4 linked regions of the Tamandua tetradactyla genome follow. The protein of the gene in region 4 interacts with the protein of the main gene of each other region in a pairwise test. Links are inferred from orthologs where the notes say so. Each region holds a gene or a part of one and is shown on either strand. Other genes may lie near its edges. The genes, in order: GAD2, SPG21, MTERF3 and CMTM5.

Region 1 (7,326 bases), on a different chromosome or scaffold from region 4:
CTTTAATGAAGTGCCCTGCCTCTGGGTATAGGAATGATTAGAAACAATGAAGAAGATGAAGAGGTAATCAGGAACTGGGCAGAAATGAATAACTGACTCTGTAGATAAAATGAAAGGTTAGAATGTAACCAGATAAATATTGCACTCTGGGACTCTCATATGGATAAGGTATGAAGAATACTGGGGAAAACCAGTATTTAAACCACAAAATACATTTTTAAAAACATGCCCCTAAGGAAAGCCATTCTTGCCCTTTTTTGCTCTGTCTTACCTCCACAATGTCTGCGAAGGACACACGTCTGTAACGTGGCTGGGGTGCTAAGCTAGCCTTTGTGAATCTTATATTTTCTTTTTTACATTTCTTTAAAACCAGTAGGAAACATACAATTCTAATTTGAGGTCTTAGCCATTTGAGACAATGCCAAAATACAACTGTCTGACTTCATGATGGTGCGAGAATGCTCAGTCCAGTTTCTGACCGTTTTTGTGCCAAGGAGACCATCAGCAGGCACAATGGGATTCGGGCTTTTGTTTGAATCATGCTTTTTGAGCTTTAATTTCCATATTCCCCCTTTCTTCATTTTGGATCGCTTTTACTGGCCTCTGTTGACAATGGGCTGCTTCCACACTGGAAGTTAATCTCCATGGCCATATGCATATACTCAGATGCATGTACACATACTTAGATACATGTACTTAGCCCCTCATCTTACCAATTTCAGCAGCATCAACAGCAAGGTTAGAAGGTGCTTTTTGCATTTAATCATTCTGATAATAACTATTTTTAAAATGATGGAAAACATGCAATTTTGAAAATATCAGTAATTCCATAAAATAGAAAATTTTATAGAAAACATAAAAACTGTAAAAGAAAAAAGACTTTTATCATTTTTGATTGAACAGTACCTGTTTTAATGGCATATTTTAGAGTTGTTCGGCAATTCATCAAAATTTCCTCCAAATTTTGTGGTTGGTCTGCTAATTCCCAGTTATACTCTTGAAGAAGCTCATTTGGGTAATGGAAATCAATCACTTTGGTTGATCTATCGAAACTTTTCACCACGTACTGAAGCAAAATATCCACAACATCTTGCAGAAATGCCAATGTGGGCCTTTCTCCATCACAAGCAGGCAGCAGGTCTAAGGAATGGGATTAAAATACCACATTTAAATTTTACTATGAAAATATTCCAACAAGATTTTGATCAGGCAATTTCTCTCGGAACGGTGAGATTTTATGTGTGAATAACAGCTTTTGGAACTGCGGGCCATTTTCTCTAAAGGGGAGATATTTTTCAAAGGAGATAAATGAGAAAAATGACGACTCCCTCCAACTAATTCTTGCATTTCCAATGATTTTTTGTTTTTTAGAAAGAGCGTGTGCATCTATTCATCTATGCCATAAGGGTTCGTCTTAAACGTTATTCTCAGTAAGCCATCATAACTGTTTATGGAAACAAGGCATATCAGAAATGTTTGAGGAATGCCTTCGGGCTAACCAGGCAAAATGGAACATGTAACATTAGGATCTCCGGCCTGCTGTTTCCAAAATCAGTGTGCGTGTGTGCACGCGTGCGTGTGTGCACGCGTGCGTGTCTGGGTGACTGAGTGTGTTAACGCTCTGAGGCAAACCTTCGTGCACGGGTCTCACAGGACCAGAATGGTTCTTTCGCGAAACCGCGGCTACAAATGACCCTCAAAAGCTGAAGACATAAAAGTCTCAGCATTCCTGCATTGGTCGGCGGGAGGTCTGAAATCCGCGTTCTACTGGAGCCCGGGCGGCCGTGGTCAGCCGACGGCGAGCCCGGGCGCCAGCTGCCTGCCAGGACCGCGCTCAGATCGCAGCGCGATGCCCGGAAGACGCCTAGGCAGACCGGCATCGGCGCGTGCAAGGCCGGCTTCAGACCGGGAAGCCGCTGGGGATCAGCCTGCCCCGGCAGGCCCACCTCCTCCTGCCACCTCGGCGCCGGGGCTCGGGTGTCCCCGAGGGGATGGCCGGGCGCAGTGGTGGGGGCGGGGCAGGGGGCTGGGCGCGCGGGGCTGGCAGGGCGCACTTACCTGTTGCATGCAGAAATGCGTAGTTGACCTTGGCTTTGGGGCAGCTGCAGGGCTTCTGGTCGCAGGCGCAGGCGGCCTTCGGCGCGCCGGTTCGCGGGGACTCTATGCCGCCGCTATCTGCAGGCTTCTCCGCGTCGCCATAGAGCAGGGCTAGGCAAGGACACAGAGCGCCGGTCGCTGTCAGCCGCTCGCCAGGCCCGGCCTCTCAGCCCCGCCTGGTTCTTGCCAACAGAGCCCAACTCGCCGGTGGTGCTACCCGAGGTGAGAAGGCGCTTGGACCGCGCGCCCCGGGGTGCCCCGCCCGCCTTACCCCGGGAGCTGGCACTCACCACACAGCTTGTTTCCGATGCCGCCCGTGAACTTTTGCGCCACCTGGCACCAGGCTCTGGCTGGAGGAGAAAGACAAGCAACAGCGAGGCAGAAAGAGAAGAGCAGACGGATGCGTGACATTTTGTCCTATTTGAACGACATCAGTAGGTCCGGGTCCCGGTAGGGGCCACCTCCCTCCCCTGCGTCCGTCCGAGGCTGGGCGCCGCGGGCAGGCGCGGGATGTGCTCGGGAGCCTGGCCGCCAAGACCCCCTCGGCTCCGGGACTTGCTCGGGGACAAGGAGAAACTCACCCCGGGGCCCTTTGCACTTGCCTTCCAGTTGCCAATCGGTTCAGACAAATTCCCCTCGCCGCCTTGCTCGGGCGTTTTCTAGACACCAAGGCTGCGCTTTCCTCGCAGATTCTCCTTCCAGAGCAAGCGTTCTCTCCCCTTCCTTGTTTTTCTTTACCCTATGCGCACCCCGTCCCTCCCCAGCGTCCCGATACCAAGAATGTGGCAGCACCCTTCGCCCTTGGATTTCGGGGTCTGGGAGATGCCGCCGTCTTTGGGGGGCTTTCACTTCAGCCACAAGGGCCCAAGGGAAAGGAGGCTGCCCGGCCTCGGTTTCTTGGACCGTCAAGGACCAACCTCGAGAGCAGTGAAGCGTCGGAAGAAGTTTCCTGCTGCAGGTGGAAAACCCTCCTTCGTTTTAACCCCAGTTCCGCAAACCTTAGTGCCCCACAAAGCACACGCAGCAGAATCCAGGTTCCTACCTGTACCGGGGTTCTCAGGATCCCCCGAGCCATCTTCAGACCCGAAGGACCAAAACCCGGAGCCGGGAGATGCCATCTGCGCGGCGATACTGGAGCAGGTCGCCTCTGAGTGTGAAGTGCCGGCGAGCTGCCCGGGCTCGGCCCTGCGCGTGCGTGCGCGTGTGGCGGGAGGAGGGCACCGCGCGGCGCAGGATGGGTGTCACACTGGGACAGGAAACGTGGTGTCTGCGTGTGCGCGCTCGTGTGTGGCGGGGTTAGGGCTTAGAGACGTGGCATCGCTCTGGCAGCCCTGGAGGCGAGGGGATCAAAAGGGAAGGGGGGCAAAGAGTCCCTGAATTCTGGAGATGGGAAAGCGCGGAGTGTCGGAGAGATTTTGAGCCCGGGAGAGCCCAGTAGGGACTGGCGAGAGGGCGGCAGAGAGAAAAAAACGGGAGGGTGCAAGGCAGACAGGGTGCGTGAGCAGGAGTCAAAGCGAGGGGGCGGGAGGCGCGCAGGCCGCGCCGGAGAAGAGTCGCGCGTGGTTGCACCGCCCGCCCCGGAGGTCCTGGCGCTGTCCATGGTGCTAACGCGGCCGGCTGCGCGCGGCTAAGGCTCCCGAAACGCCAGACTAGAGGCCTCGGTGCGGCGGGAAGGGGGCCGAGTTCCACGCAGGCATCGATCTGCTTATTGTTTGAGGTTTGTCTCCCGTTGTGGAGAAGCGCACACGGGTCCCGCGCCGCCTTTCTCCAGGCGGGTGCCGAGGTCTCTGCGACCTCCAGAGACTGGTTCTCTGGGCCAGAACCAAGAGCCGTTCCCCAGCTTGGGGAGGGCACGGTGGGGAAAGGGAGTCTAGGGCGCTGATGGGCTCATTTCAGCTCCTTAGTAGAGCCTAGTGCCTGCCTACTGAGCCGCGCGGTCCCCCCGGGCGCACCATTCCTGCGCAGCGGAGCGCGCGGTCGCGGGACCTACAGTCCGGGTTCTGACTGACAGCTGGGAAGAAGCACTGCTGATTGAGGCAATTAAAATCCACGCTGGAGTCTATCACCGAGGACCTCAGGCTGGGGAAAAGAATAAAACAAATGGAAACTTCTTGGAAGGGGGAGGGGAGAGCGGTCGAGCTCGTAGGACTGATGGCCCATGGGGGATGGGATGAAGTCATCTGGTGACCTTGGCCCGCCGAAGCATGGAGGGGTCCGCTGCTGACGTGTGACAGCGAATCGGTCTGAGCGTGGGAGGCGTGCACAGGGTTTCCAGCTAAGCAATCTGGGCTTTCCCTCTCCGAGGCAGAAGGAAGGCATGGCCTGCAGGGCTCGCGCTTTAGGGGGCCTCTGACCAATAATTGTCCCCCTCCCAAAGGAGAACCTTCACGGTAAAGGGGGACGGAGAGGGGACAGTGATTCTTCTATTTCTGACCGCCAGGTGGAAAGGGGGAGAGAGTCGGAGCCTCTCTCGACACTTACGGTTTCCTTTCTCTAAAGTCATTTTAACAAAGGGAGGAGGACTTGAGAATTTTGGGGCCCCGTGAGTTCGCCTTGCTGACTCTCTGCCTGTGAGACCGTCGTCAAGCACACCTTGTCTGTCCTGGGCTCGTGGGGAGAAGGCGAGAAGGACCCGAACGCGAAAGGGGGGCTCCCAGCCTCCCGCGGCGTCCGCCTACCCGGCGCTCAGGGCAGCGCCTGCCATCTCCACGGTGGTCCCAGGCCGCGCTTTCTCAGAAATGCCGAACGGGCACCGAAGCTGCGGTGGAAGCAGAGACCCGCAGGTCTTTGCCACCAGCCCTCGACCCTTGCTTCCTAGAGGCATCACAGACCCTTGGGTGGCACGCGGGGGCCTGGTCAACTCTCTCTATAAGGCGTTGTCTTCTTCCCAGGAGAGCCCGAGGATCCGCACGGCGGCCGTCGGAAGGCATTGGACGGAACGCGCGGGCTTGGTCTAGTCCATGGCGCAGCGTCCAGGGGCCTCTCCGAGCAGGCTCCGGGCGTGCAGAGGGCCCAAACCTGGACTCAGATCGGCCTCTCTTCCCCGCCCCCAGCGCTCCAGTGTAAAACAGGTGATAATTCCAGGGTTGTAAAGATTTCGTGGCTGGGCCGTCTACACCCCGCGCAGGGCAGCTCCGCAGCTCTCGCTCCAGCATCTCAGACACGAATCAGAGAGGGCTGTTCTTTGTTTAAATCCACACCAAGTCTTGTTTCGCTTCAAGCCTGCAAGCTGTGGTTGCAGAACTTTCCTGCTTATGGATGAGCGTTCGTGAAGACAGACATTCTTAAAAACAAGCGTTAAAAAACACGCAAATCCCCCCAGGTAGAAACTGATTAAAACAAGAGAAAATCCCAACACCTGAATTTAATTTTTATTTTTAGCGCAGTGACTTCAAATGCCACTAAATCCCGCAGCTTTGCAGAACTTTGAGTCTAATGGTGGTATTTCCAGTTTTTATTTAAACACCCTACTTCAGAGCTAGACGGGGACCTGATTTGTCCCTCCTAAACGCCGTGCCTCCCAAGAGGGCAATTTGCTTTATAAAGACTTTGATTTCGCAAAAAGAGCCACCCCTTACCCCTCTGGCTCCGAGTTGGAGATAACAAAACAGCTCCGGGAAGTAATAATTACAGTCATTAGTTCACAAAGGAGGCTGCCACTGAGTGGGGAGGGGAGGCGGGCCCGCGTCGGGGAAAAGCTTTCGAAGGCTCTTCCTCGATGGAGCGGAGAGACCCAGGCTGCGGGGGCGTCACCTTGAGCGGTTTCCTCGGGTGAATAACGCTTGGCGGTGGTTTACGCGAGATCGCGCCACAGCCCCGCCAAAGGAGCGGGGGGCGGGGAGGGGGTAGTATGAGCTTTTCCCTATGTCCTTCCAGGACTTCAGTGTCGAAAGACAGAGAACGAAGGGTTGAGGAAGGAAAGAAACAAGTACAAAAGGAAAACAAAAGCATTTCTCCATTTCACCAAGCATTTACCATTCTTGTCTCCAGCCGCATTTGAAAAAGCCGAGATTTTGGGGCTTTTTAGTTGTTGTCCAGCAACACAAGCCTTGTCGCCAGGGCTCTGGTCCGCAGTTGCCACCCGGGAAGCCTGGATGGAAGAATATTTCTGGGAGAGAAGAGGGGCTCGACTTGTTTTCTCCGGAGGGCCGCCTGGTGATGGTGGATAGGTGGGCAAGGGCGGAGGGGGCCGGGCCCTCCGGGTCTGTGTGCCTGGGCCCGCCCCTGCCCTTGGTGCGCGCCGCCTTTCCCCTCCCTAACTCCCCTCCCAGCCTGGGGCAGGGGAAAGCGCGGGGCCTGCAGCGCGCGCGGACTCGGGTTCCGCCGAATCCCGGGTCCTCGTTTGTAAAATGAAGAGGTCGGACGAGTCACCTCCGGGGACCCTTTAGTGCCAACTCTTGAGGCGGGAGAAAACTGCGCGACAAACCCACCACGCGGCTGTATGCGCCCCACTCGAGCCTCGAACCCGTCCCTAGCGCTCTCGGACCCGGGCCATGGGTGGGAGACGAAGGCACCGCCAGAAGCCACAAGCCGCGTTCCAACCAGAACCCACGGCCCAGTTCACACCTCAGCAGAACACCGCGCCACCTGCCCCTGCCCTCCCAGGCCGCGTACACGCGAAGGGTTTCAGGTCACAGAAGAACTTAACTCGATTCAAAAAATAAGGTGTAGGCAACTGATGAAAGCGCCCCCTCCCCACTTTAAATACACCTGAATTTGGAGGAGCAGAGATTGCTCCATCCTGCAGACTAGACGAACAAAGAGCAGACTCAGTTCAGTGGAGGGAAGTCTAGGAAGGCAGGAGCTACGCTGGGGCTGCGGGGGTGAGAAACCCCGGGGAACTTAAAGATTTTTCCGGGGGCTGCGTTTGTGTCGCAAACCTCGGGTTTGAACTTAGGTTGCATGTTTTTTTGGGTCGATGGAGGAAGGGGTTCGCTGATGGAGAGGGAGGGAACCTCCACCACCCCCACCCCCCGCATGCAGCCTCTACACCTCCAGACAGCAGGCGTCCGGCCCAAAGGGGAGCACCGCAGGCCGCCCGCAGGCCACAGACTTTCCAAGGCACTTTATTTAGTAAATTTAAAAACCAAGGGAAGAGAAAACCCTCACCCCGCCCCCCGCCCCGCCCCGCTTTGTTCCCCTAGATATCGCCGGCCCGCGTGTGTCCCGCAGGCCTGGGAGAGACGTTTCCAAGAAAGGGCAAATATTTGAAATCACCCCAAACCAGAA
Region 2 (7,254 bases), about 50 Mb from region 4:
AGGCAGTTCAAAACTATTTCTCTTTATACTATCTTTAGAGGCAGAGTCTTTGAGTCAGACAGATCTAATGTGAACCATGATTCTCCCCTCTGATCATAAGCCTAAGCTGTTTACTTAACTTCTTTTGAGTCTGCTTCCTTATCCACAAAATGAAAGTCATACCTATTATGCAAGGATTGTCATGAGGAACAGAAATAATATATGTAATGTGTCTAGCACAGTGCCTGGAACACAGCAGATTCTTAATAATACTATTAGCTAATACTTTTATTGAGTACTGGCCACATGTCTAAGACATGACATGAACAGTCGTTATTTTATTTTTACAGTTACCCTGCGATAGTAGAATTTCCTCATTTTTTCAGATGAGATAACTTAGGTACAAAAAAGGTTAAATAAATACCTAGTAAGTGATGGAGCTAGAACTGACCCCCTGGTAGTCTGACCATTCTACTCCCCTATCTGTATTTGGAAATATTTTCATCCTTGATCAGGGAGTTTAATGTCTTAGGGTTTGATATTCAGAAACTGAGAAATGAGAACACGTTAGTTAATTGAGTACCCATTATACAGGTTCTGTGCTAGGTGGTTTCAAAGAGATTTTTCTTATTTTAGTCACTATTTAATCACTGTCTTTTTTTACCTGAAGAATTAATAATACGTTGTAGAAACCTGCCGAAAGACTGCTGCTTTTTGTGGTAAAACAGTGCACTCTTGTTTTCCAGGATTCTTTTTTGCTGTGCTTCCTCCAAAAGGCAAACTAAAGCATTAGCATTTAGGAAAGGATCCTTAATGAGATACTGAGTTGGCAGATGCTACAAAAGCTGTACCTTTGCTTAGGAACTTTTTATTTTTAGAAGTTGCTTAGGAAATTTCATTTTAAAAGGTTAATAATGGGGCGGGCAGTGGTGGCTCAGTGGCAGAGTTCTCCCTTGCCATGCCAGAGACCCGGGTTCAATTCCCAGTACCTGCCCATGAAAAAAAAAAGTTGTTACAAAGGATAGTGTCTTTGACCAATTCTTGGGAAAAAGTAATCCATAAAGCTTTAAAAAAAAAAAAAAGAGAGAAAGGTCGATAATGAACAAACATTAACATCGCCAAGAAGTTCAAATACTGTTTCCATTAAATAGTCATTTTTGTGTGCAGGTTAATTCTTTAAAGTTTTATTGGAAGCAGGAGAGGGGAGATTATCAGAGAAGGGAAGCTTTGAGGGCCAGCCATTGTAAATATTCAATAAGTCTCCTAGATTTATAGACTCTAAAATTTTATAATTAGAAAGAACTTGGAAATCATATGGGTCAACCTTGGCCTCATTTTACAGATAAGGAAACCAGATGTAGAAAGAGGAAAGAAGAGAACTCAGGTTTGTTAACTCTTGCATCAGAACTAAATCAGTAATTATGATAACTATATATAACTTCTGTTTGATAGGCTCTTCAGTTAGCAAGCTATAGAATAACCATGTCAGCATCTTTCTTGGGTGGTTCCAGATATATCTGTGTATGATCCCTATAATACGGTGCGATATGCATTTGACCCAGACTTGGTCTGGCCATGAAGAAGCAGTATTTCATTTCATGGGTCCCGGCATAACTGGTATATAACATATAGTTAATTGTACCCTGAGAAGATTTTACAAGATATTTTAAGAACTGGGTTAGTCTGAAAAATCAGTGTTTTGTTTCTCTTTCACTTTTTCACGCATCTGTAGTTCCTGGAGGTAAAATAGGATTATTCATTCTATTGGGTTGAGTAAAGGGAGGCATTCTTAGAGGGGGAAGAATATACACACAAAAGTCTATAGAGGTTTGAGACCAAATGAAGTGTTTGGGGATGTTCAAAGAGTTGTTGTGATGAGATCACATGATCCCATCGATAGCCCAGTGGAGCTTGAAGTTTAGCTGAAGGCAGTGGGGAGCAATTGAAGGATTGAAAGCAGGGGAGTCACACAAAAATATAGGTACTTTTAATTTTTTTAATCACACAATATATGAATCATTCTTACATAGATTCAAATACTAAATATAAAGCCAAAGTGCTCCTTTACCACTCCTTCCATACCAAAATCCTCCTCAGAGGTAACCACTATTCTATTAAATGTGTATTCTTCCCAACCTTTTAAAAAATGCATTTACTTATGTGTATGTGTGCACAGAGTATATCTAGTATTGTTTTGTAGGTGAGATTTAAAACTGTTTTCAAGGGATCAGTTAAGAGGCTTGGGCAGTTCTGAGCCAGCTGGCCATCTATTTATTTTGCCTGGTGTTCACAGCATATTTCATGAACATTCCAGTTGTTCAGTGTGAGTCTAGCACAGGGATTGGTGCTGAGGGAACCATCTGGCAGACCCCAAACACAACAGCTGCAAACCCTCACAGCCTGGTCCACAAGGTCTGCTTCACTGTGTGCCGTGGGTCAAAAGTTTGCTGTCCGCAGTTGTGCGTTAATAGGACAGCTGGAATTCACAGATATTAAATGTTCCTTGTTCATATTAGCAAATGGACAATCTGCTTGCCATGTGTTCTAGAACAACTGAGGACCCAAACATGAGCATAGGGTCATTTTCTATAGGAAACATTAAAAAAAACCCCATTATTTGTTAGTTATTACCCACCTAACAGAATAAGGATGTGTTTGTATATTATATAAAGAGACAGAGGCATATGTATGGGCATATTCATAGCTGAGTTCTCATTAGGGCAATTATTAAAGTAAGGTCTGGGGATGGGGGATCTAAGGAATACAGTTTTAGGACTACATGTGGATAGATTTATTTTTTCACTCATTCATTCATTCAGTATACATTTAGTAACTTTTATGGGCCAGACCATGTGTTAAGCTCCCAGCCCAGCTGGGGAGATACACCAATAACTAATGTAATGAGTGCCTGCAATGGGTTTTCCATATATCCAGTGACTTGCCAGTTTTTCCATTCACTAAAATACTCCCACATTTTGAGAAAAAACCTCCAAGGTTAAAAATCCTTCTTGGAAACATGCCCCATACACCTATATGGTGTTTATAATAAAGGATTACTTCCTGTGACTGGCTTGCAATTCCGAAAGAGATGATTTGTAGAAAACCAGGAGAGATTATCCTGCTCTTGGGAAATTCCTGGGGTTTGTCCAAGTTCTAGACTGGAACTAAAGCTTCCTGAGCGGGAGGGCAGAGATCATGACTCAGCATGGAATTTAGGACTCTCCCCTGACCTAAATCCCATGAACACTTGTCTGGATCAGGTCAAAGTTCGAAGGTCCATTTAAATAGGAGACACGCTCTCCCTAAAACAGATTAGGGAGAAGCACTTTTAACAGGATCTTGTTGCACTATCTCTAAATAACTTCAAACGGGTAGATTTACATGCTACTTAATCTTCATATTATTTCAGTGCAAATCTGCAAATATTTTACTGAAAAGGGCTGTTTCGGCCTCTGCAACCTCTTGTTTAAAAAGTGATCATAAATGAATTCATATTCTCTGCTCTTAAAACCGCAGTGAAGAAGGTGAGGGAGGCTCTGTGGAACTAAATTCCCGGAAATTCCCCGGGCTGCCAGATTAGGGCTGGAAGGGAAGGGAGCGTTACAGTAGAAGGTTATGGAGGGTGTCTGTGATTGTAACAAGGAAAGAAAAAAAAAAAAAAAGAACTAGGCAAGAAGAGAGTATACAAAGCCCTGGTCACCAAAACCTGGAGCCCCGGGGATCCCCTCAAATCTTCACACAGAGGAGAGGGAACAGTAGGCATCTTCTTCCTCCAGGTGTGCGCGAACGAAATGCAGAAGCAGGTTCCAGGAGGCCGGACACCCCCTTCTCCCTCTCTCACAACTTCCTCCTTGGTGCTCACGTCTCAAAAGCTAGACTCAAAGGCAATCAGATTTCCTCTCCGCGCCGACCACCACCGCTAATCCTACGGCAGGTTCCCGCACGCACCCGCGGAACCGAGAACTCCGGGAGTTCAGACTGAGCTCAAGCCCCGCCTATCGGGGGCCCCGTCGCCATGGAGACCCCCGAGCCCCCGCCCCTTCCCCGTGACGTATCCCTCCCCCGCCGCTGAACCCGGAAGCGCCAGGCGCGCGCCCGCTACGGGGACAGTCGGGAGGGCTGCGCGCCCCGCCCCTCGGAGGCCTGCCCTCCTGCACGCCCCCGCCGCCCGCCGCCGCTTCTAGTCCTGGGTGTCCCGGCTGCGGGCCCGGACTCCGGGCCAGCCGCTCCTCCAGCTCACTCGGGTATTGTAGCGAAGAGCCGCTTTGGGGAGGAAAAGGGTCGTGGGGGCGGACACGGCAGGTGAGGGGTGGGCAAGGCCCTGGGAGGTGGTGGTATGGGTCTCTATTGAGTGTGAGATTGTGGGTGTATGTAAGTGTGCGCGCTTGCCTTGGTCGGTATGATTGTGAATGTAGCCCCGAGTGGGCCGGTCCATGTGATCGTGCACGTGATAGCACTTCCGTGTGTGTGTTTGTGTGGGTGTGTATGTATGTGTGTATGTGTATATGTGTGTGTGTCTGCCTTTCTCTGAGGCCAAGCCAGGGCTCAGAAGGGTCGTAGGTGGGCCTGTGACCCTGCCTTTGTGTGGCTGTCACCGGTGGAACCGGGTGAGGTTGGCTGGTGTTATGGGTCGCCTGGAGGGGTTTGCACAGGGCATCTTCCTGCAAACCCATCCTGGAGCTACACATCTGCAGCCCAGGAACAGTTTTTTTTTTTTTTTTTAGTAAACTTTTAAGAACTCTGAGCAGACGCCAGTTATTTTGGAGATTCTATCTCAGCCTGAAAGTACAAATGTCTTTGTCATTGCTGAGTACCACCCAGGTGTGACGCTTATGAATGGGGGATGAGAAGAATAGCAGGGCTAAAATGTCACTTTTCTTCTTTTTGTTTTTCTGGGGAGTTGTTTTCACAAGTTCTGTATTTATGCTGCTGCTTTGTCTCCACCTACAATGGTCCAGCTCTTATTGGTACAAAAATTCAAGAGACTTAGGAGTAACTTAATAGCTGTGTCTAAATTCTCAAAGCTTTTACACCAAGATAGAGCACAAGATGAGGTGTCACAGAGGAGATGCCAAGTAGGTAGCTTTCCCCCCCACGAGGTATAGAAGATAATGAAATAGGTTCCTGAAGAAAAGAGAGACTAATCTTACTGGAAGAGATCTTAAAACAAGGATAGCGGTGTACTGATGTGGCTAAGCATGGAGGCTTACACTAAAAAGCTAATGCATTGCCTAGAAACTCTTGGGTTCTATTATTTTGTTATTGCTGGTGTTAATAATACAGATTATCCATATGTAAATCAACTAAAGAGTGCAATAAAGGTTGGAAGCCTCTCACTAGATAAGCTGGTTCTGAGACTTCTTAAACACTTGTGAGGGCAATTTGATTGCCTGCAAACTGGAAGGTTCTGTTGAGATTCTGAGGGATAGGTGCGTGTACTGTCTGGCGCACAGTCACAACCTGGCAGTTTTGTTGTGGAACAGCCCAAGGACTGGAGAGGAGTGCATTTCCATTGCACAACCGGAGAAGGGGTTTCCTATCACAAAATTGAGGCTAATCTAGGTGGCCTTTTCCCCACCAGCACGAACAGGTGCTTTTGTTTTTCTGAAGAGTTGAATCTTGAGAGGTCAACTCAGAGTTGAACCCAGCGATCCTCATTCTTTCTTGGTTAATACTGACCAGTTCAATGACAATCTCACTTAACCTTCTTTGCCATCTACAGAATGTTCCTCTTGTGACTTGGAAAAGTATACGCCTTTGGAGTGGATGAAAGAGATCTGGGAGAACAACTTTCCTTTTCATACTGCTCCCAGCTGCTTTTCTTTGCAGCAGTGAGCTTTTTTCGCCTTTAGACATCAGTTGGTCAGCTGCAACATTTGGTATCTGTTTAACCTTTCATGTACTGCCAGACTAGGACAAGTGCTAGAATCACTTGTCTCTACAAAAATTCAGTCACAGTTGGGTGGAATCTCTCCATCCTGCAAGATTAGTTATAAAATATTAGAACATTGACTTGGCTGGGAATAACCCTGAGGACTATTGGTAAGGAGCATCTTCCTACTTTTGCTGTGGGGAAGAAGCGCGTGTCTGAGTTCGTGAGACTGTGCATCGTGTGTGTGTGTCTTTGTATTGTAGTTTGATTGTACATAGCAAATGAGTCCCAAACTATGATTAACTTATTTTATCTCAGTTTGGAGGATTTAGAAGCAAACTTTCTGCCTTTAATTAGCTAAGATTTGCTTTTTTAACTGTTTAGTAAATCTTATTGGCTAAGCATGTTTTTTATGTTCCCTCCTGTAGAATAGAGTAATTGTTTCTAGTAATGCTGTACTAGGAAATGTCTTCATTATAAAGTATTTGTGTGATATGGGAGCATTTCACATCTGTGTCAGGGTTAAAAATATTCCAGGACTATCTATTTATGTGTTAGTTCTTTTCAATTAAAAAACAATAGCCAGCTTAGAGAGAGGCTAGAGTTTGTTCAGATGGTTTAAATGTTTTAACATGTTAATAATATTGAGCAAGATTTTTAAATGGCTATGCAAAGAGGGATTTTATTTCATTATGACTAATAACTGCATTTATGCTCCCTTATTTTTTTATTTTTTTATTTCTTGGTATGGGCAGGCACCGGGAATCGAATTTGCTCCCTGATTTTTAGCAAAGTACTTCAGAGCAACTTACAATTTTAATGAGTTTTTCTGAAAGTACCCTGTTAGCCTTTAGAGACAAGAGCATTATTATTACAGTGTATAGGTTGTAGGTCAAGTGTAGTTTAGGAATGTCTAGATTCACCATCTTCCAGGGGGTTGTTTAGTAATCCTCCAAGGTTAGAGGTAACAGTAGAGACCCCAAGGGCCCTGTGTTCTTTAGAGTATAGATCTGGAAGGCCAAGAAAGATGCGTTCCATTGAGTTTAGAGTCCTGTGCTCCTTGCCAGTCCTGAGAACACCCTCTAAAATGACAGTTCTGGGTCAGCCCATGAGTTAAGTTCTAGAGTCTGGAATTCCTCTTAGCCCTGCAGGGGAAGCCAGGCTTGCCCCAGGGGCAGGGGGCAGCGTGCAAAGCCAGTAGTGATTGCTTCCAGTCCTTCCAGTTGATGCCTAGGGTGGAGGTTCCTCATTTGGCAGGAAGAATCTGCAACAGGGAACTATGATTTCAGGTTCCTGTTATGATCTAACGCAGATGCCTGACCAAAGAAGGGCATCCTTTAAGCTAAAGTTGCTTAGCCAGTCCAAAGCCAGGGTTAGAAGGGACTCTAGAATTGCCTAGTTTA
Region 3 (8,357 bases), on a different chromosome or scaffold from region 4:
GGTAGTGGCTCCCAGATATGTAATCTCTCAGGTGAGACACCACTTAACCCAAAAAACAAATATTTGAACCATCCAAATGCCTGTTTGCTACAAAAGACCCCGGAGAAATACATGGCGCATTTTTTCCTTCAATAAGTTTAAAATCTTTTAGGGACCTAAAACACCAGAAATAAAAATGAAGGTAAAAGGATGCTCATTTAAATAGTTTATATATATGATTGAAATATAGTAACTGGGGAAGAGAAATGTTCAAGGTCAATGTTAACTGGACCCAAGAGTGACCCAAGCACAGTGGCCTTTGGTCACCTCCAGGGTCTGCTTAATCCCATACAGTCATTATAGGGGATCACTAAATATGGCTGGGGTCAGAGAACAAGGACATCCAGGGTTTCCTATTACTGAGAGAGAAAGAACATAATGTACATGAAGGAAACGGGATCTAAACAACTGAATCTGCAGTATCAAGAGATGTATTCTAATGGGAATTTATATGGTCTAATGGGAAAGGAACAAGGGAAGCTGGCAGTTTTCCACAAGGGAAGTGGCACAGAAGGCCAGAAATGTGGCCCAAGGGATATGATGAACTAGAGCTCCAAAGTCACTAAGGGAAATTAAAGTAAAAACAATTATTCACCAACAAATACATCAAAAGTCTGTTCCTTCTTCTGCTCCTGGCTGTCTCCTTAATCCTGTATCAAGGAGAAACCTAACACAGACAAGGTGATAAGCACTTAGGGACAGTCAATATGTAGGATGGCAACTCCCCCCCGCCACCAACCCGACCCCTTTAAAGTAAGTCATGATTTTTGTTGGGCGAGTGCTAACAGAGGCTGCTTTCATTGTTTCATTGGCAGGTGATTCTTGAGGAGAAGGTGGGCTGCTGCAAAGTGGATTTAGTACATTTTGGTGTCTTCTGATCTAACATTGAATTTTTGAAACTAAGGTTGTTCAACATTTCCGAGTTAATCAGCCTCTGAAATCAGAGTAAATATGAGGGTACCTTGGTAATTAAACATTGAGCTTCAGACAAAGGTTTTCCTTGCCGTACCTTGGCTGAATAAATGTATAAGACATATGCCAAAGCATCTAATTTTAATATACTTATTCTAAAATATGGCAAAGCAAGCTTTTTATAATTTTAGGAGGAATCTACTAGGTAACATCTGACTTTATTTTTAAGGAGGCGGACAGGAGATTTAAATACTATGGTTTAACAGTGAGTTGGTTTACCTGCTTTTTAACGAAAGAACTACTTGGTAAATCTAAATTTGTCTCAGACTTCTGTGTGAGGTGTATAATCCTCAATCCTAAATTCTCACTTGGTCACTACAGGATGTGATATTACCCAGGTACTGATTCCCACATACTGGAAATCTGATGCCCCAAATGTATTCTATCTCCTGTTCTCTGAGACTACTAGTCTTTGAGAAACAAACTTTAAGTCCTATTTTTAAGGTTTTACTGAAAGAACTGCACTAACAGCCATCCAACTAAAATCCTGTTAGAAAATAAGGATAAGGGACTAGAGAAAATCCCTACAAAGAACACAAAATGAATAATTTTCATTTAAGAGGTCATTATTTTAAATCTTTACGGAGGAAGACAGAGATCTTTGTAATCTGCTTTAAAGGGTCAGAAATTGTTACCAAAAAAATGAGTAAGATGTAGTAAGTACAAATTATATTAATTGGGCTATTGATTTTATATAACATGAAATGTGTTATTAATTAGCTCTTCATTATGTGATTTCTGTCTCTGCACAAAATTAGTGGAAAAAATAAAAGCACCCCTTTTAGAAATGGCTATAGTCTGAAGTTCAGATTATGTTTTTTCTATTACTTTTGACCATCTCTTAAAATTAAAATTTATTTCTTATACTTTCACTTATACTTTCTTTTACTTTCACAATTTATTAACTGCTTTGGCAGAGTATGTTGTAAAAGGGGAAATTCTAGAAGAATGTGACTTACTATAATAGAAAAGAGGAAGAGAGATCTATTCTGAAAGAGGCTAAACTATATTGAAGATAAAAGGTTGAAACAACCTGCTCATTTTTGCTTCTCATTATTTAAAATAAAATGCCATGATTGTTTTCTAATTTCCAAAGAAATTCTCTTACTTATTTCATCACTGCCAAGTCATACAGGAGATGAAGTTAATATGAAACAGACATCTATGTCAATCAGTCAAAGCAACGTCCATTTTTCCAAAGCTTTTATCCTTTGCTTCAATTACAGAGCATATTGCATCTTCTAATATAATTTAGAAGGCATTAGCATACAATGAAATCATGTAATAACAGCTAATGTTTATTGAGCACTTACTATTTGCCATGCACTGAGCTAAACACATAGATTATCTAAAAAGATTAATCCTCACGACAGGTAATCTTATGAGGTATTATTTTATTAATATTTTCATTTTACATACAGATAAGGAAACTGAGGTTAGCAAAACTAAGTGGCCACACGGGTATTAAGTGATGAAATCAGATGATATGATGAAGTATTCGAGGGTAATCATAATTAGGGGCACAACTGATCTATCTTCAAAGCTAAAAATACATTCTTGGTCAGATTCCTTAGAAAAGTCTAGTCTTATTTCACTATATAGCAATAGCAGAAGACTATGATAATAGCAGCAGGATCCCTCAATCATTAAGGGCAAGTAATCATCATACATGCTCTATATCTTTAGGCAGTTTAATTCAAAAAGACAAATACTTCCTTAATAAGAACCAAAAGTCCAATGGATTATGGAGGTCAGGAACAAATGTGGTGTAGGAAGATGGCTTTATGAAAATCTGAATAATTGCAGTGGTTCTCAAGGGAGGCACCACTGCCATTCGTGTTTGTGTATGTCTGTGTGCATAGGGGACAAATCATTCTTTGTTGTACAATGCTGTCCCATGTATTGTGACACGTTTAGCATCCTTAAGCCCCACCCACTAAATACCAGAAGTGTTGCCCCAATCCTTGGGACCACCAAGGGAAAAAAAAAACCTACACATTTTCCAGCCTCCCTGTTGAAAACCACTGTTGGATAAAAAAACTGGGAGCCAAGCAATATCAGTTTGAGTGACTATCATGTACCAGGCACTCTGCTAAGTGCATTTATATATATATCCATTTAATCTCTGTAACTCTATATGGAGTAAGTATTTACTTCATCTTCATTTTACAGGTGTGGACCCTGAGGCCGAGGGAAAGGTTAAGTAATTTATGAAGGACACAGCCAATTTTGAAACCAAAACTACACTCATCTGGATTGGTCTTTTAAACTGTAACGATGTGGGTAGGCATGACTTTCCTTTCCTTAAGGAGGTTCATTCAAAAAATACAAATCCTTGTATAGGAACCATAGTGTGTCTGCCCGTTACACACCAGGTTTGTATTTGTTCCCTGGGTTGAGAACGAAAGGCCACATGTATAGGGATATATTTTAGGGCTACATGATATGTGAACAGACTTATACCAGAAGTGCTTTGAGTATGTGTGTATATGTTTGCAGGAGGATAGAGGGTTGTTATGTTGTATTTATCTGATAGATATAGCATTTACTATGCCACAGGCATTACAAAGTCTCCTTTCAGCATGTATGCTAAGTGGTGAACTGGCTGAGTGTGTACCACGTGATGTCTCTGCTGGTGGGCTGTGTGGCATGATGGTATTCAAGAGGTGAGGGGCATCAGCTGTGCTGGATGGGGAACCATCTGCTGCGTCCTGTGTCTAGAGCAGCAGTTTGTGTCCTGGTATAGATGGGCGGTGTTTGAGGATGGGGGAAGAGTTATGGTAGGTGACTTTGTGATGAAGAGGGGAAGCGCTGCATGGAAGAGGATTGTGGGTGGCCTCAAGTGTGCATTTTGTGTGTCTGGCACGTTGTGCTGAATACTGGAGGACTTCTGGGCGTGTGTGTGGTATGGGGTGCTGCATTCTGGAGGCGCTGTGGGTTTTGTGTAGTGTTGTGTCCTCAAAGTGGTGCATAGGAGATGATTCATGCGGTGTGCTGGGTAAGGACGGATAATGGAGGGGCTGCAGAAGGAAGGGGCCAGAGTCGTGACATGCGTGGGGCGCGATGCTGAAGGCGGTGGGAGATAGCGGCTCGGGATGACCCGCGTGTTAGGGATGTGGCGCTGTATGGGAGGCGCTGTATGGGAGAGGGTAGTTTTGAGAGGTGGGGAGTGGTTGGGGGGGAGCAAAGGGGAGGTAAAGGCGTCTAGTCCAGGGGGGTTGTAGGGGAGGCGGCTGGGGTGTGCCGTGAGACAACGCACGGGTGGAGGAGCTGCGTGGGCGGCGGGTCTGCTCTGGCTATGACTGTGTGTGCGTGGAGCAGACAGTCTGCTTCTTCAGCCCAGAGTCACATCGGGCCACCCTCTCCGCCACTGCCTCCCTCTCGCCTCTTCCCTTTGCCCTCTGGCGCTCGCCTCGCGCGGCCGGGCCCGCCTCACCTGGTGAAGGCGAAGTACATGAGGCTGACGATGGTGAAGCTGAGTAGGGTGATGGTGTGCGGCCGGTAGAAGAAGTCGATGGTGATGTCCTCCACTTGCTGCTCGTTGATCATCCGGAAATGCATCTTGTAGTTCACATCATCTTTGCTCAAGGTCCGGCTCCCCACGCAGGACGCCATGGCCCGCCTCCCCGTCCTGAGGCAGTGGCGGCGGCCCCAGCCCGCGGAGGCTGGGACCCAGGTGGTGGTGAACCGCGACAGGCCAGCGGTCGGGCGGCCGGGCCGGCTCTGGCGCCCAGCAAAGGCTGGGAACCCAGGGGAGGATCGGCGCGGGAGGGCGGGGTCGCGGCGCAGACGACGCGGTCTTGGGCGGGGGGCGCCGCCGGCTGTCCCTAAACTGGCGCTCTGTGAGGGCTATCTCCAAACACTCACGGGGGTCTTCGGACTCACACAAAATGAGGTTTGATAGAAGAGCAAGCAGAGAAGGGAATTTGACTCTCAGTGGGCTCTTTCCTCTATCGGACCGCCGCCCGCTCTCTCCCCCCGCGCAGCCTCACAAATGGTTTCGCCCAGACGGGCCGCAGCCCACGTGGTGTCCGGACGCCGGCGGCGCGGGGCCTGCCGGCGGATGAGCTGATGTGAGGTTCCTGGGCACAGGACCCGGGCCGGGCGTTCCGGGCGGCCACCACGGTTTAGGCGACAAGGCCCAGGCCTCGCCACAAGGTAAAGTTAGGAACCGCCAGAGCGGGAGAGGCTGGGGTCCGGCCCGTTTCTGGTTCCCGAAGCACCGGCGACAAGGCCGCACCCCGCTACCCTGCCTCATCCACGCAGTGAACATCACTGCCTTTGGATCTTTGCGGCCCAGTTGAGGGCGCTTGGTTTTGTTTTTTGTTTCCTTTTTTTTCCCTGGCTGATCTGACGGAAACTTGTTAATTACCGCATTTTGCGGAGGACGCTGAAGGAAGCCCAAAGTGCAAATGGGCTTCCTACGGAAGTTGAGTATGGGGAACTGAAACTGACTTGTTAAAATGACCTAGGGAGGGCGTAAAGTTTTATTTGGGAGGCCCTTTTATTACGAAGCTTACCCTTCCCCACCTTAGTAGCCTCATTCCACATATTAGCCCTACAAAGCTAGAAATTTTGAACCCTTGAAACAGCAGTGTTTCAGTGCCAACTACTATTCCCGCCGAAATACTTTGCAGTGTTGAGAACTATCTGGTATTTTAAAGGACTTGAATTTTTCTTAATCGTCCTGCCATTGTTAGAAGAACTATTTTCGTCACTTTTTTGGTATGCAAATGGATTCCCCTCTTTGCATGCTGGGTGGGCAAGTAATAGTTACTGTTGATACATTGCCATTCAACAGACATCTGGACTAGTGGAGAATAGCTGCTGCGAGGTGGATTCTGAGATGAGCCGCTGCTCTGTTCTCATGAGTGAACAATTATTCAGTTGTTAAGTTGGACAGAGTGAAATGATGATGTGGAAAAGAAAGTGCAGTTGTAAATTAAAATAGAAGGATAAACATTAATTATATGCACAAATGCCTTTTAATTTATATGAAGATTCATCCTGCCTGATGTGGGAGGGGTACTAACTTGAGTCTGGAAAGGCTGAAGAGGGAATTTGGGATATCAGAAGTTTGTTTTCAAGTAGATGAAATACTTAGGCATCTTAAGAGTTGGAAACTTTTAGAGCTGACAGGAATCATAATCATCTTGTACACTAAATGTTTCTTATGTAAGGGATGGTTGCTGACCTCCCAGCATGGGCCGTGCATTATGCTGGACTGCCACAAGAAACTTGTTCTTGTCAAAGTAACATGACTGAGATCTTCTGTCTTTCAGTTGGTGCCCTTATGACTTTGTTGTGCAGAGAATGGGTGTTGTAGGTTTGAGAAAAAACTTGACAAGTCACTTCTATCCAAAAAAAAATTTTTTTTAAGCCTGCTGGCAAGGATTTTGTGAATACTTATTTCAGAATGGCAGTGAGACTTTCACTTTTATAAATCTCTTTCATCAAACCTCCATAAATTACGAATCTCCAGGAGGATAGGCCCTCAGATAATTGGTCTAATTCGGAGCATAAACAAAGCTGAATTCCATTATGGAGATAAACCAAAAAGTCGTTTGCAAAAATTAAGTTGACAGAATTTATTTGTATTTGATTGTGTAAGCAACAATACCCTGACGTTAAGCATTTTCCATATGCTGGATCCTGTGCTAAGTGTTTTTTTTTAATTTTTTATTAATTAAAAAAAATTACAAGAAACACAAACATTCCCAACACATACACTCAGCAATTCACAATATCATCACATAGTTGCGTATTCATCATGATCATTTCCCAGAACATTAGCCTCAATTCAGAAAAAGAAATAAAAAGACAACAGAAAAATATAACAAACAAACAATAAATTTTACATGCCATACCCCTACTGATCCCTTTCATTGATCACTAGCATTTCAAGCTAAATCTATTTTAACATTTGTTCCCCCTATTATTTATTTTTATTCCATATGTTCCTCTCATCTGTTGACAAGGTAGATAAAAGGAGCATCAGACACAAGGTTTTCACAATCACAAAGTCACATTGTGAAAGTTATACAGTATACAATCATCATCAAGGAACATGGCTACTGGAACACAGCTCTACATTTTCAGGCAGTTCCCTCCAGCCTCTCCATTACATCTTGGATAACAAGGTGATATCTACTTAATGCATAAGAATAACCTCCAGGATAACCTCTCGGCTCTGTTTGGAATCTCTCAGCCATTGACACTTTGTCTCATTTCACTCTTCCTCCTTTTGTGGAGAAGGTTTTCTCAATCCCTTGATGCTGGGTCTCAGCTCATTCTAGAGTTTTTCTCAATCCCTGGATGCTGAATCTCAGCTCATTCTGGGATTTCTGTCCCACGCTGCCAGGAAGATCCACACCCCTGGTAGTCATGTCCTACGTAGACAGGGTGAAGGTGGTGAGTGTGCTTGCTGTGTTGGCTGGAGAGAGAGGCCACATCTGAGCAACAAAAGTGGTTCTCTTGGGGGTGACTTGTAGGCTTAATTTTAAGTAGGCTTGACCTATCCCCTGTGGGGTTAAGTTTCATATGAACAAACCCCAAGACTGGGGGCTCAGCCTATAGCTTTTGTTGTCCACACTGCTTGTGAGAATATCAAGAATTCAACTTGGTGCTAAGTGTTTTATATGTATTGTTTTATTTGATGTGAAATTGTGGGCATTGAATTTATTTTCCTAGCTTAGTTGGGCTAAATATAAAATTCGTTCATATACCCTGAATTTGAAGTAGTGAGAGCCTTTCCTGATGAAAGCTTTTTAAAAGCAACTACTTTTTCTTTTAAAATATGCATACCTTCATTGCTGATTGCTTATTTCTATCACTTTGTTCTACTTGCTTGTTTTAATCTTTTCTTTTTGAAGGCTTTCTCTTTTTTCTGCAGTAAAGCAGATGACAAAACTAAGGAACGGCTCTTTTTGTGACATAATCACAATGTTCAGCTCTGAGTATGAAGCAAAAAACAGCTTTTACTGTTCTATATGGCAATGATAATATTTTGATGAGTCACTTATGACAGTGGATTGCTTTCTTTTTTTATTTTGTGATGAATTTATAGGACATAAAATAGCATTTGAATAATTATATTATTTTGATCAGCACTCTGCTGCTTAAATGTCCTTCAAGTTTTAAGGATATGTGATTGCCCTATTTTATTTTTTTTTTAATGATTAAATTAATAGAGAGTATTAGATTTAACATAACTTGAACATTTAGATTTTTGTTTAAAATGTTTTTCTTACAATTGCAATTTTGCTTTTTGTTTTTGAATTATAAAGTATATGCTTGTATTTCCTGTTCAGAAGTTCTGTATGGTCTGTAATGAAGACTACCTTATT
Region 4 (8,362 bases):
TACCTCCTGGCATGCAGTTTCAGACCCTCAAAACTCACCAAAGAAGTTCCCCCCCCAATTCTCCAGAATGCCCCCTGACCTCATCCCTCCTCTGCTTGGGGGCTGCTTCACCATAAAGCATTGGAAAGGATTCCCCCTCACTCTGCAGTTGTTATTCCTGGTTTGTTCCTTTTGTTTATTTTCTGAGTCCTTGGTTACTGGAGGAGAGTATTTTCTAAGGGAAAGCACATGCAAATCAGGAAACATCGTTCTAGAGATAATGTCCGTGTTTGAGAATGAGTATGTTGGGTGGGAGGATGTTGTGGGTGTGGGGGATGAGAGGAGGGGGTCCATAGAGAGGGTAGGCCTGCCAGGAAATAGGCTCTGCTCTCAGCATAGTGTCCCCCAGGCTGAGTGGACCCTAGGAGAGTTATGTCTTTGATGTCAGGTCCAGCTCCGAGCCATTCCAGAGCACATATACTCCTTCCTGGCCAACCATGGCTGGTGGAGAGCAGCAGCAAACCTTGCCTTCGTCCTTGCCCCAAGGCCCTGTGAATGGGAGTGGGGGCAGGCAGTTCCTTGGAGCTGGGACTCCTAATGCGTCTTAGGTGTCCTTCCTCTTCCTTGCATCACCTTCTCATTTGTGCAATGAGGATAGTCACGCACAACTTCTTCCAACAGATCCTGCAAACAAACTGATGGAGTCAGAGACTTCCTGGAAATCTTTTAGGGTTAGACCTGTATCTCTATCCCAGGGGAAGGGGCCAAAGCTCAGGAATGGAGGTGGTCACTAAACAGGGCAAGGGGAAGTTGGGGGGTGGCTAATGGACAATGGGGTAAAGGTCATAAATGATGGGGCTTCTAGGACTTGGGGTCATGGAAGATGGGGAAGGGGTCAGGGAACAAAAGAGATGGGGGGGTCACAGGAGACAAGGGGGAAGGAAAGTGTTCACTAAGTGGGTGACCAGGAGGAGGCCTGAGAAGAGAGGAGGGAATGGTGGACACAAGGCTCTGGGTGGAAGCAGCAGAAGTCATGGAAATGAGGCCACTTGAAGAGAGGCAAGATGACATTTCTTATTTTGGGATACCAAGCCAATCAGGGAAATTCCCACAATGCCACTTCACAAAGACATGGAACACTATTGCTTTGACCCCATGCCCGGAAAAGTACAAAGAACAAAGTTGACCCAATAGGCTACCAGACTTTGTAATGACTCTCATAACTTCCATTAGTATAGTATTTTAAGCAACTTTGGAAAACAGTTTCAAGTTTTTAAATCTCTGGTCACTCCCTCCAAAAGGTAGTGGAAATAAATTTGAATAAACAAAACAGGTTTGTTCAAAATAAAACCAGGACTGTTAAATACTCCAGCCAGCCCATTTCCACAAGACCTTGACTATCAGTGCACTCCCTGGTGGCTGAGCGAGCAGCATCCAGCATGTACCAGGTGAGAGGTCAGAGGGTTGGGAGAGCATGGTGCTGAGCAGGAAAGGAGCAGAGATGCTGCTGAGGGCTGAGCAGGCCAGGCTCCCTGGTTTGGGGCTGGGGGCCAGATGGAGCTATGAACCAGGATCTCAGGGAACAGCTGGGGGAGTGGCTTGGGTGGAAGGGGTCCCAGATTAGGTGAGAGCGGTTCTCTCTCTGGCCTTTACCTACAGGTGGTTGCATTCCTGGTGATGGTCATGGGAACTTACACCCATAATTGGAGGCTCCAAAAGGAAGGTACCCAATGGCCCAGCTGCTGCTCCGGCAAAGGGCAGGACCCCTCTGAGGAGTGGCTCAGGTGGAATACTGTGCCGTCTCCCCCAGAGGCTGCCAGCCTCACCCGCCCCCTCATCCATCCTCCAGAGTCCTGCCGGGCCAGCGAGGATGGACCCCTCCACAGCAGGGCCATCTCCCCCTGGAGATATGAGTGAGTGTGTTGTGTCTCCCTCCTAACGTGTGTGCCGGTCAGGGTGTGAGCGAGGGGAACTGGGAGTTCCACCCAAGCCCAGTCTACTTTCTTCCCCTTTTAATCTCAGGCAGGCCATGATGTTTCAGGAGTCCCACATGGCTGGGGTTTGAATCCTAGCTCTGACTCTTACTGGGTGATCTTGGGCCAATTATTCAAATTTTTATTCATCTGTAGAATGGGGGAACATCCCATAGGCTGATGTGCAGATCAAATGCCACAATGCATGTAAAAGTCTGTACTTATTCCAGGGAAAGCTGATTCTCTCCTTTTCTTATCCTTCCAGTGGCCATGTTTTTCTAGTGAAAGTTTCAGGGAATGATGGTATGATACAGGTACACGGTATCCCGATAAAAAAGCTCTGGGCCATGCAGGGAAGAGAGTTACAAGTATACTAAGCTATTGAAACCTTTAACCTTTGGGGGCAGCTGGATGGCTGGAATCTCAGGCTGGTTATCTTTGATCATGAGTGGTCTTATTTTTTCATTCAGTGTGCTACAAAACTATTATCCTTTGCTCTTTGCGCCATGATATGGAAAATATTAGGAGGCTCTGAAATAGGGACAGTGAAGAAAAATATTAAAAATTAGGGCCTTCAGGATCACAGACCTATTTATTCTTCTGTTTTGTGTCCTCATCAGATGTCCATGTTCCCACTTCCCGTAATTCTAGTTCTGGCTTAGCTTTGGCTTTGGAGATGGATCTCCATCCATCTATTCGGTGTGGGTAGAGGGGGACGGGGGTCAGCTTTAATCAGGACTAGATTTAGCATGGAGGTTCAAGGTCATTATGTTCTAGAGCAGTCTCAGAAGGCTAGCTGGATCCTGAGCCAAATTCAGTGGAGGGGCAGCCGCTTAGGGGAGGCTGTCGCCAGGTGGCCATCTCTAGCGGGAGTCTGTGAACCCCTGAGAATCACCCAGCTGGCCTTTCCCAAAGTGTGCTCTATGCCATGCTTGTCCCACAAGCTGCTCCTCTGGAAAAAAAAGCGACAATGTCAAGGAATCTTGGGAAAGGCTGCTCTAGCCCACAGCACATTAAAGGCTGCAAGAAGTGTGCAGAAAAGAACCCATTTAATTCAGTACTTCCCAGACTCGTTTGGCCACAGATCCATTTTCTTGCAGAATACTTATTAGGGAACCTACTTTTGGAAATATTGTGCTAGCTGAGCCCCAATTTTCCAGGGCTTGTTTGTATGGGGAAGGGTCCTTATATTTAGGGTCTATTTCCTGTTGGACTGCTGGAGTCCCAGACCTTTGGCACACTTTGCAGTAGTTCGTAAACCTCTTTTTTTTTTTTTTTTTTGCTAAGTAAGTAAATAAGTACTTGTCAAAATAAGTAAATAGGTCTTACCATACACTTGCACACGTGCTTATGATACATGCATGGGCAGTGTCTGGTAAGGTTGCAAGAAGGGTTGACAGTGGCTCCCTCTGGGGAGTGAGACTGGTGGGGCAGGACCATTAGCCATTACTTTATACTTAGATTTAAGGGCAGTTTTTACTTTTACAATTAAAAAGCACATAAAAATGTAATAACAATAACAAAAAGAGAATCTCATGCTAAAGCCCAGTATATATGCCAGATTGTGCAGAGACTCCTCACCTTCTCCAGCCTTCCTAATGGCCCTTGGACCAGTTAGAAAACCGTTCTCTAGTCCCCTATCCTTATTCACAGTTGGGAAAAGAAAATCCAGAGAGGAAGGGTTCCAAGTCACTGGCTCAAAGTCACACAGCCGGTTAGGGTCAGAGCTGGGGCTAGAAGCCAGGCCGCCCACCACAGCACTTCCTTCGTCTAACACGTGTACGCCTACACTCACGTGGGGCACCCCCCTTGCCCCACTGCTGTTGTGTCCCCCTCCCTCCCTGTCTGCCTGACCAGCTCCCCTCCAGGGCCTGACACGTGCTGCCCCCACAGGTTGGACAGGGACTTGAACCGGCTGCCCCAGGACCTGTACCACGCCCGCTGCCTGTGCCCACACTGCGTCAGCCTACAGACAGGCTCTGACATGGACCCCCTGGGCAACTCGGAGCTGCTCTACCACAACCAGACCGTCTTCTACCGGCGGCGGTGTCCTGGCCACCAGGGTGCCCCCGTGGGCTACTGCCTGGAGCGCAGAGTCTACCGCGTCTCCCTGGCCTGCGTGTGTGTGCGGCCACGTGTGATGGCCTAGCCGGCCAGCCCGCCGCTGCTCCCTCGCCGGGAAAACTGGGGCTGGGCCAGCTGTGGGTCGCATAACCCATCAGTCGTTGTGGGCCAGGACGCCCAAGTGCTCGGCCTCTCCAAAGCATGACCGACCTGGAGCAGCAGGATCCTGGGACAGGATGGGGGGCTTTGGGGGGGGGGGGACCTGCACTTTTGCACTTTTTGGAATGGACGGGAAATACAGGGTGAAGCGAAGGGAGTGGTTGCTGAAAGCTGGTGTGGGGAAAGGGCTTCAAAGCTCTGCTCATGAGGCCACCACGCCTGCTTCCTCCTCTCCTCTTATTCCCAGCTGCCTCTGCACAGCACGGGCACTCTCTTGACGTTTTCTTCTCTGCCAGTGGAGAGCCCCCCGTTTATTGTTCATTTGTTCATTCACTCATTCATGAATTCATTCCTCAAATATCCATTTTGTGTGCATCAGGGTGTAGTTACATATCTTTTGACATGGAATATTCTGAGGAGGAGGCTGTTGTTGAGCATGGAGAGATGTATCCAAATAAAGAAGTCATATTTAAAAGTGGCCTCATTTATCTTTGGCATCCCTGATACCTGAACACCCAGGGGTCGCCTAGCTTGGACTCTCCCCTCCTCCCCACCCCCGCCGCCACCCCTCACCTACTGCCACTCTGCCTGCCACAGTTTCCGCTGTGCCCTCCTATCCCTGCCGCTCTCTGGTTCCCTGACCTACTCCCGAACACCAGGGTGGGGGATCAGGCTGCCTTTCCGGCCTGCCAGAGATACAGAGGCCCATTGAGGCACTGCAGCAGGCACACAGCACCCCGTTGTCCCCCCAACAATCCGCCTTTGTCCTCTGGTCCTGGCTGCTACAGCTCGGTCCAGGCGGGGTGCAGCCTGGGCCAGGCTCCAGCTCCCAGCCTCCCTACAAGGAGAAGGGAGAAAGGAGGGGCCAAGGAAGAGGGTTAAAGGCAGAGGCGGGGGACACAAGTTTCTTCAGGCTTAGGTCCTTGAAGGGCTCCTAGTCCTGACTCTGTTTCTCAGCTTACCTCCCAGCACCCCCTGGTTTGCCTGCCTACTTCCTCCGCTGCCCCTTCCTCCTCCCTGCTCCCCTTCTCCGGGCTGGGTCAGCTGGGAGTAAGGGGAGGGGCTAATCACACCCCAGCTCTCCTCCTCTCTCACCCCCACCCGCCCTGTGCACTTCACAGGGGGCCGGTGCAGGCACCAGTGGGGGGCACTCTGAGTCCAAGCAGCTGGGGGAGGGCCCATCGGAACCAGCCTGCCCCGGCTTCTCCAGGGGCCCCGCAGACTGGCCTCCTTGCTTCACTTTCAGGTTCCTCGCATCCTCCCTGCTCCTGGCTGCTAACCCATCCTGCCAGGTTTCCATTTCCCTTTCTGGGCTGTGGCAGAGGGGGGCTGTGCTCAGTGGGCCCCCCCGGAGATGCTCAGCGCTCGGAACCGGCCCCCCGAGGAGGGGGCAGCTGCGGGACTCCAGGGTTTCGCCGTGGACAAGACCTTCCTCTCTTCCCTCAGAGGCATCCTGCTGGAAACTGAGCTGGTAACTGCTGCCTCCCCGAATCGGGTGCCTCCCTCTCTCCCATCCCTGGCTCCCTGGCCCAGCCCTGGCCGCGGGGCCTTCCCAGCAGCCTCCTTTCCCAGGCTTTCTGGATGCCATCTCCCCCACCCCCATCTCCCACCCTGCCTTCTGGCCGCTCTCCATCTAGAGACAGTTGCAGCAGGAAGAATTGAAGTTAGACAGAAGGACACTCTTGGGGACCTCAGGGGTACCTAAGTCCCAGGGCTGGGACAGGGAGTTGGAATGCCTGCCTGCCTTTCCTTGGCCTCTAAGATGGCCACTTCTTGGCATGTCTAAGAACTATCAAAAAGGGCAGACTTCCTGTGGCTCCACTTTTATCTGTTGTCTACTCCCCGTGAAAATCTATTTCGGGATAGGGTCTTCCCCTGGTCACTAAGTGTACACTTAATTTCTGTGCACATTTGCCATCCTGTGCTGCCAGAGCTGCAGGCCCCTGGGTCACCGTGTGCGTCTGCCTTCTGAGCCTCGCCTCTTGGCGTGGAATTGAGGACTTTGCTCCTTGTTGAAGTTTTAGGCATCTGAGAGCGGGGAAAGTGTTAGGGGGCAGGGCATGCCTCCTGGGGCCCAGGGCTTCACGGGCACAACTGCAGAGGCAAGTGTTCAGACAGTCCTCTGTGCTCCAGGGGGCCACCGCTGTCTGCATTGCCCTTTGAATGGTGCCCCCTGGAGTAGTGCAGCTCGGCCATACCGCTGGGGCTGCGTTTAATGGGCAAATGCCCCGGCCTGGTAGCTCCTGTCACTGGAAGGGGAGAGGGTGGGGTGGTGGAACCTGCCAGAGCTCTTGCTTTCCTCTCCAAAGACAAATGGTGCCAGCCAGGGGGAGCCCCTGGCCTGTGGGCTCGTGTCCCCTTCCTGGCAAGCACCACATGCTCGGTCCTGCAGGCCCTGACCTTCATCATCTTTATTTGCTTCACGGCCTCCATCTCTGCCTACATGGCCGCCGCCCTGCTCGAGTTCTTCGTCACCCTCGTCTTCCTCTTCCTGTACGCCACCCAGTACTACCAGCGCTTCGATCGGCTTAACTGGCCCTGTCTGGTGAGGACACCTGCCCCCCCCACCCCGTCCTAGTTTCTCCCTTCTCCTTTAAACACAGAGGTTTCTTTTCCTCTCCCAGACTCCCCTCTCCCTAGGCCCAGTGAGGGTGGGCCCAGCCCCGCCTGCCTCAGCTTTTCTCTGCCCCCTGCTGTGCCCTGCCATCAAAAGCTGAGAACTGACCCATGCCGGTTTCGTGGCTCCATGGGTCACGGACAACGAGGGGATTGCACACCCTTGTCTGTTCTCCCACTCACCAAAGTCCAGCCCCACTCTCCCAAGAACCTGGCCATCTACAGGTTCTGGCTGGGGTGCTCCAGTCGCCATTTGGGATCGGCTGCACCCCCCTACCCCTGCAGGCCCCTGGCCTCCTGCCCTGGGTAGCTCTGGATTCATCTGCATCTGTTCCCTGGTAGTAGGGGGAGCGCCCTTTGGAAAGAGCTTCGTTTTGTGTGTGCAAGGGTATCCCCTTGTAAGGACTGGCAGCACTGCTGACTAGCCTGGAAAAACCTCAGGTTGGATGCCCCTGACCTCTGACCTTCCCTTTGGCCCTGCACCCCCCACTTTTTTTATCTCCCCCAGGACTTTCTTCGCTGCATCAGTGCCATCGTCATCTTCCTGGTGGTCTCCTTTGCCGCTGTGACCTCCCGGGACGGAGCTGCCATCGCTGCTTTTGTGAGTCTGGTCCTGCAGGGCCCTCTGGGCCCCCAGGGTCCCTGGCTGATGGCTGCAGATGCACCTTTCTGGGTCCTCCCGCCCCTCGAGTCAAAGCCAGTGCCCAGGATTGTGGCTCACGCCTTGCCCCAGGTCACCCGCCTCCCTCTTCCCAAATCCAATGGCCTGATGCCCTTGGTTGTGCAATCCCTGCTTCGACCCCCACAGGTTTTTGGCATCATCCTGGTCTCCGTCTTTGCCTACGATGCCTTCAAGATCTACCAGACTGAGCTGGGGCCCCGGGCCACCCAGGGTGAGTGTCTGCACTTGTGCCCCTGCCCCAGCCCCAGCTACCCCATTCTGAGCTTCCTTCTCCTGCCTGGCTCCATCTTCGCAGGCGACCAGCAGTGACCCCCAGGGCTCCCCAGTTCCAGCCAGTCTTAAGGGGACACAGGAACCCAGACACATCTTCGGTTTTGCGAGACTCTCTGCCTACCACCTCCCCAGCCGGGCCCATGGAGATGACGCCTGGCCAGAGAAGTCTCCAGGCGCATCTGTGGGGCCTGGTGCTCTGGGACCTGGCTCCTGATGGAGCTCCACCCAAGGAGGGGGTGCCGTGGAGGGTGGGAAGGACGACAGAGGGGAGGAAGCTGAGCTCCCAAGTCCTTCCCAAATTAAAAGATTCAAGTACTGGTGGCGAGTCTTTCTGTTTCCCAGAAATTAGGCCTCTCAAAGAATGTGTGTTTTTGGAAGTGTTGCCTGCAGCGGGTCATGGTCCCTCTCTGGACCCTGGTCTGAACAGGGAGGAGGTGGGGGATGGACTGAAGACACAGAAGGCATCATCCAACACAAAACTTGCCTGCCACAAATCTCTGGATTCAGGGCCACTTTGTGGCGTGCCTGGTGCTTGGCGCCTGGAGTTTTATATCTAGGAAGGCACAAGGCTTCCTGATGCATCGCCCACCGGCCACACCTGCCACACCTGCCACAC

The links.
Region 1: the proteins of CMTM5 (region 4) and GAD2 interact in binary tests that used the Homo sapiens proteins (3 or more experiments, as listed by UniProt). The two-hybrid records come from large-scale screens. The link is inferred for Tamandua tetradactyla from reciprocal best matches to the Homo sapiens genes CMTM5 and GAD2.
Region 2: the proteins of CMTM5 (region 4) and SPG21 interact in binary tests that used the Homo sapiens proteins (3 or more experiments, as listed by UniProt). The two-hybrid records come from large-scale screens. The link is inferred for Tamandua tetradactyla from reciprocal best matches to the Homo sapiens genes CMTM5 and SPG21.
Region 3: the proteins of CMTM5 (region 4) and MTERF3 interact in binary tests that used the Homo sapiens proteins (3 or more experiments, as listed by UniProt). The two-hybrid records come from large-scale screens. The link is inferred for Tamandua tetradactyla from reciprocal best matches to the Homo sapiens genes CMTM5 and MTERF3.

The regions. Positions count from the first base shown.
Region 1 is NC_135327.1:224,518,031-224,525,356, forward strand, and holds the start of GAD2 (glutamate decarboxylase 2), read right to left. Parts: upstream 3,216-7,326; coding exon 3,140-3,215; intron 2,448-3,139; coding exon 2,388-2,447; intron 2,209-2,387; coding exon 2,059-2,208; intron 1,141-2,058; coding exon 907-1,140; intron 1-906. UniProt on the Homo sapiens protein: Catalyzes the production of GABA.
Region 2 is NC_135340.1:81,792,528-81,799,781, reverse strand, and holds the start of SPG21 (maspardin), read left to right. Parts: upstream 1-4,071; 5' UTR 4,072-4,281; intron 4,282-4,718; exon of another isoform or gene 4,719-4,800; intron 4,801-7,254. UniProt on the Homo sapiens protein: May play a role as a negative regulatory factor in CD4-dependent T-cell activation.
Region 3 is NC_135332.1:140,115,322-140,123,678, reverse strand, and holds the start of MTERF3 (transcription termination factor 3, mitochondrial), read left to right. Parts: upstream 1-5,035; 5' UTR 5,036-5,169; intron 5,170-8,357. Other genes in the region: PTDSS1 (phosphatidylserine synthase 1), read right to left, coding at 4,448-4,626.
Region 4 is NC_135340.1:31,514,966-31,523,327, reverse strand, and holds CMTM5 (CKLF-like MARVEL transmembrane domain-containing protein 5), read left to right. Parts: upstream 1-5,123; 5' UTR 5,124-5,153; intron 5,154-5,421; 5' UTR 5,422-5,529; coding exon 5,530-5,646; intron 5,647-6,567; coding exon 6,568-6,720; intron 6,721-7,299; coding exon 7,300-7,392; intron 7,393-7,599; coding exon 7,600-7,684; intron 7,685-7,768; coding exon 7,769-7,782; 3' UTR 7,783-8,064; downstream 8,065-8,362.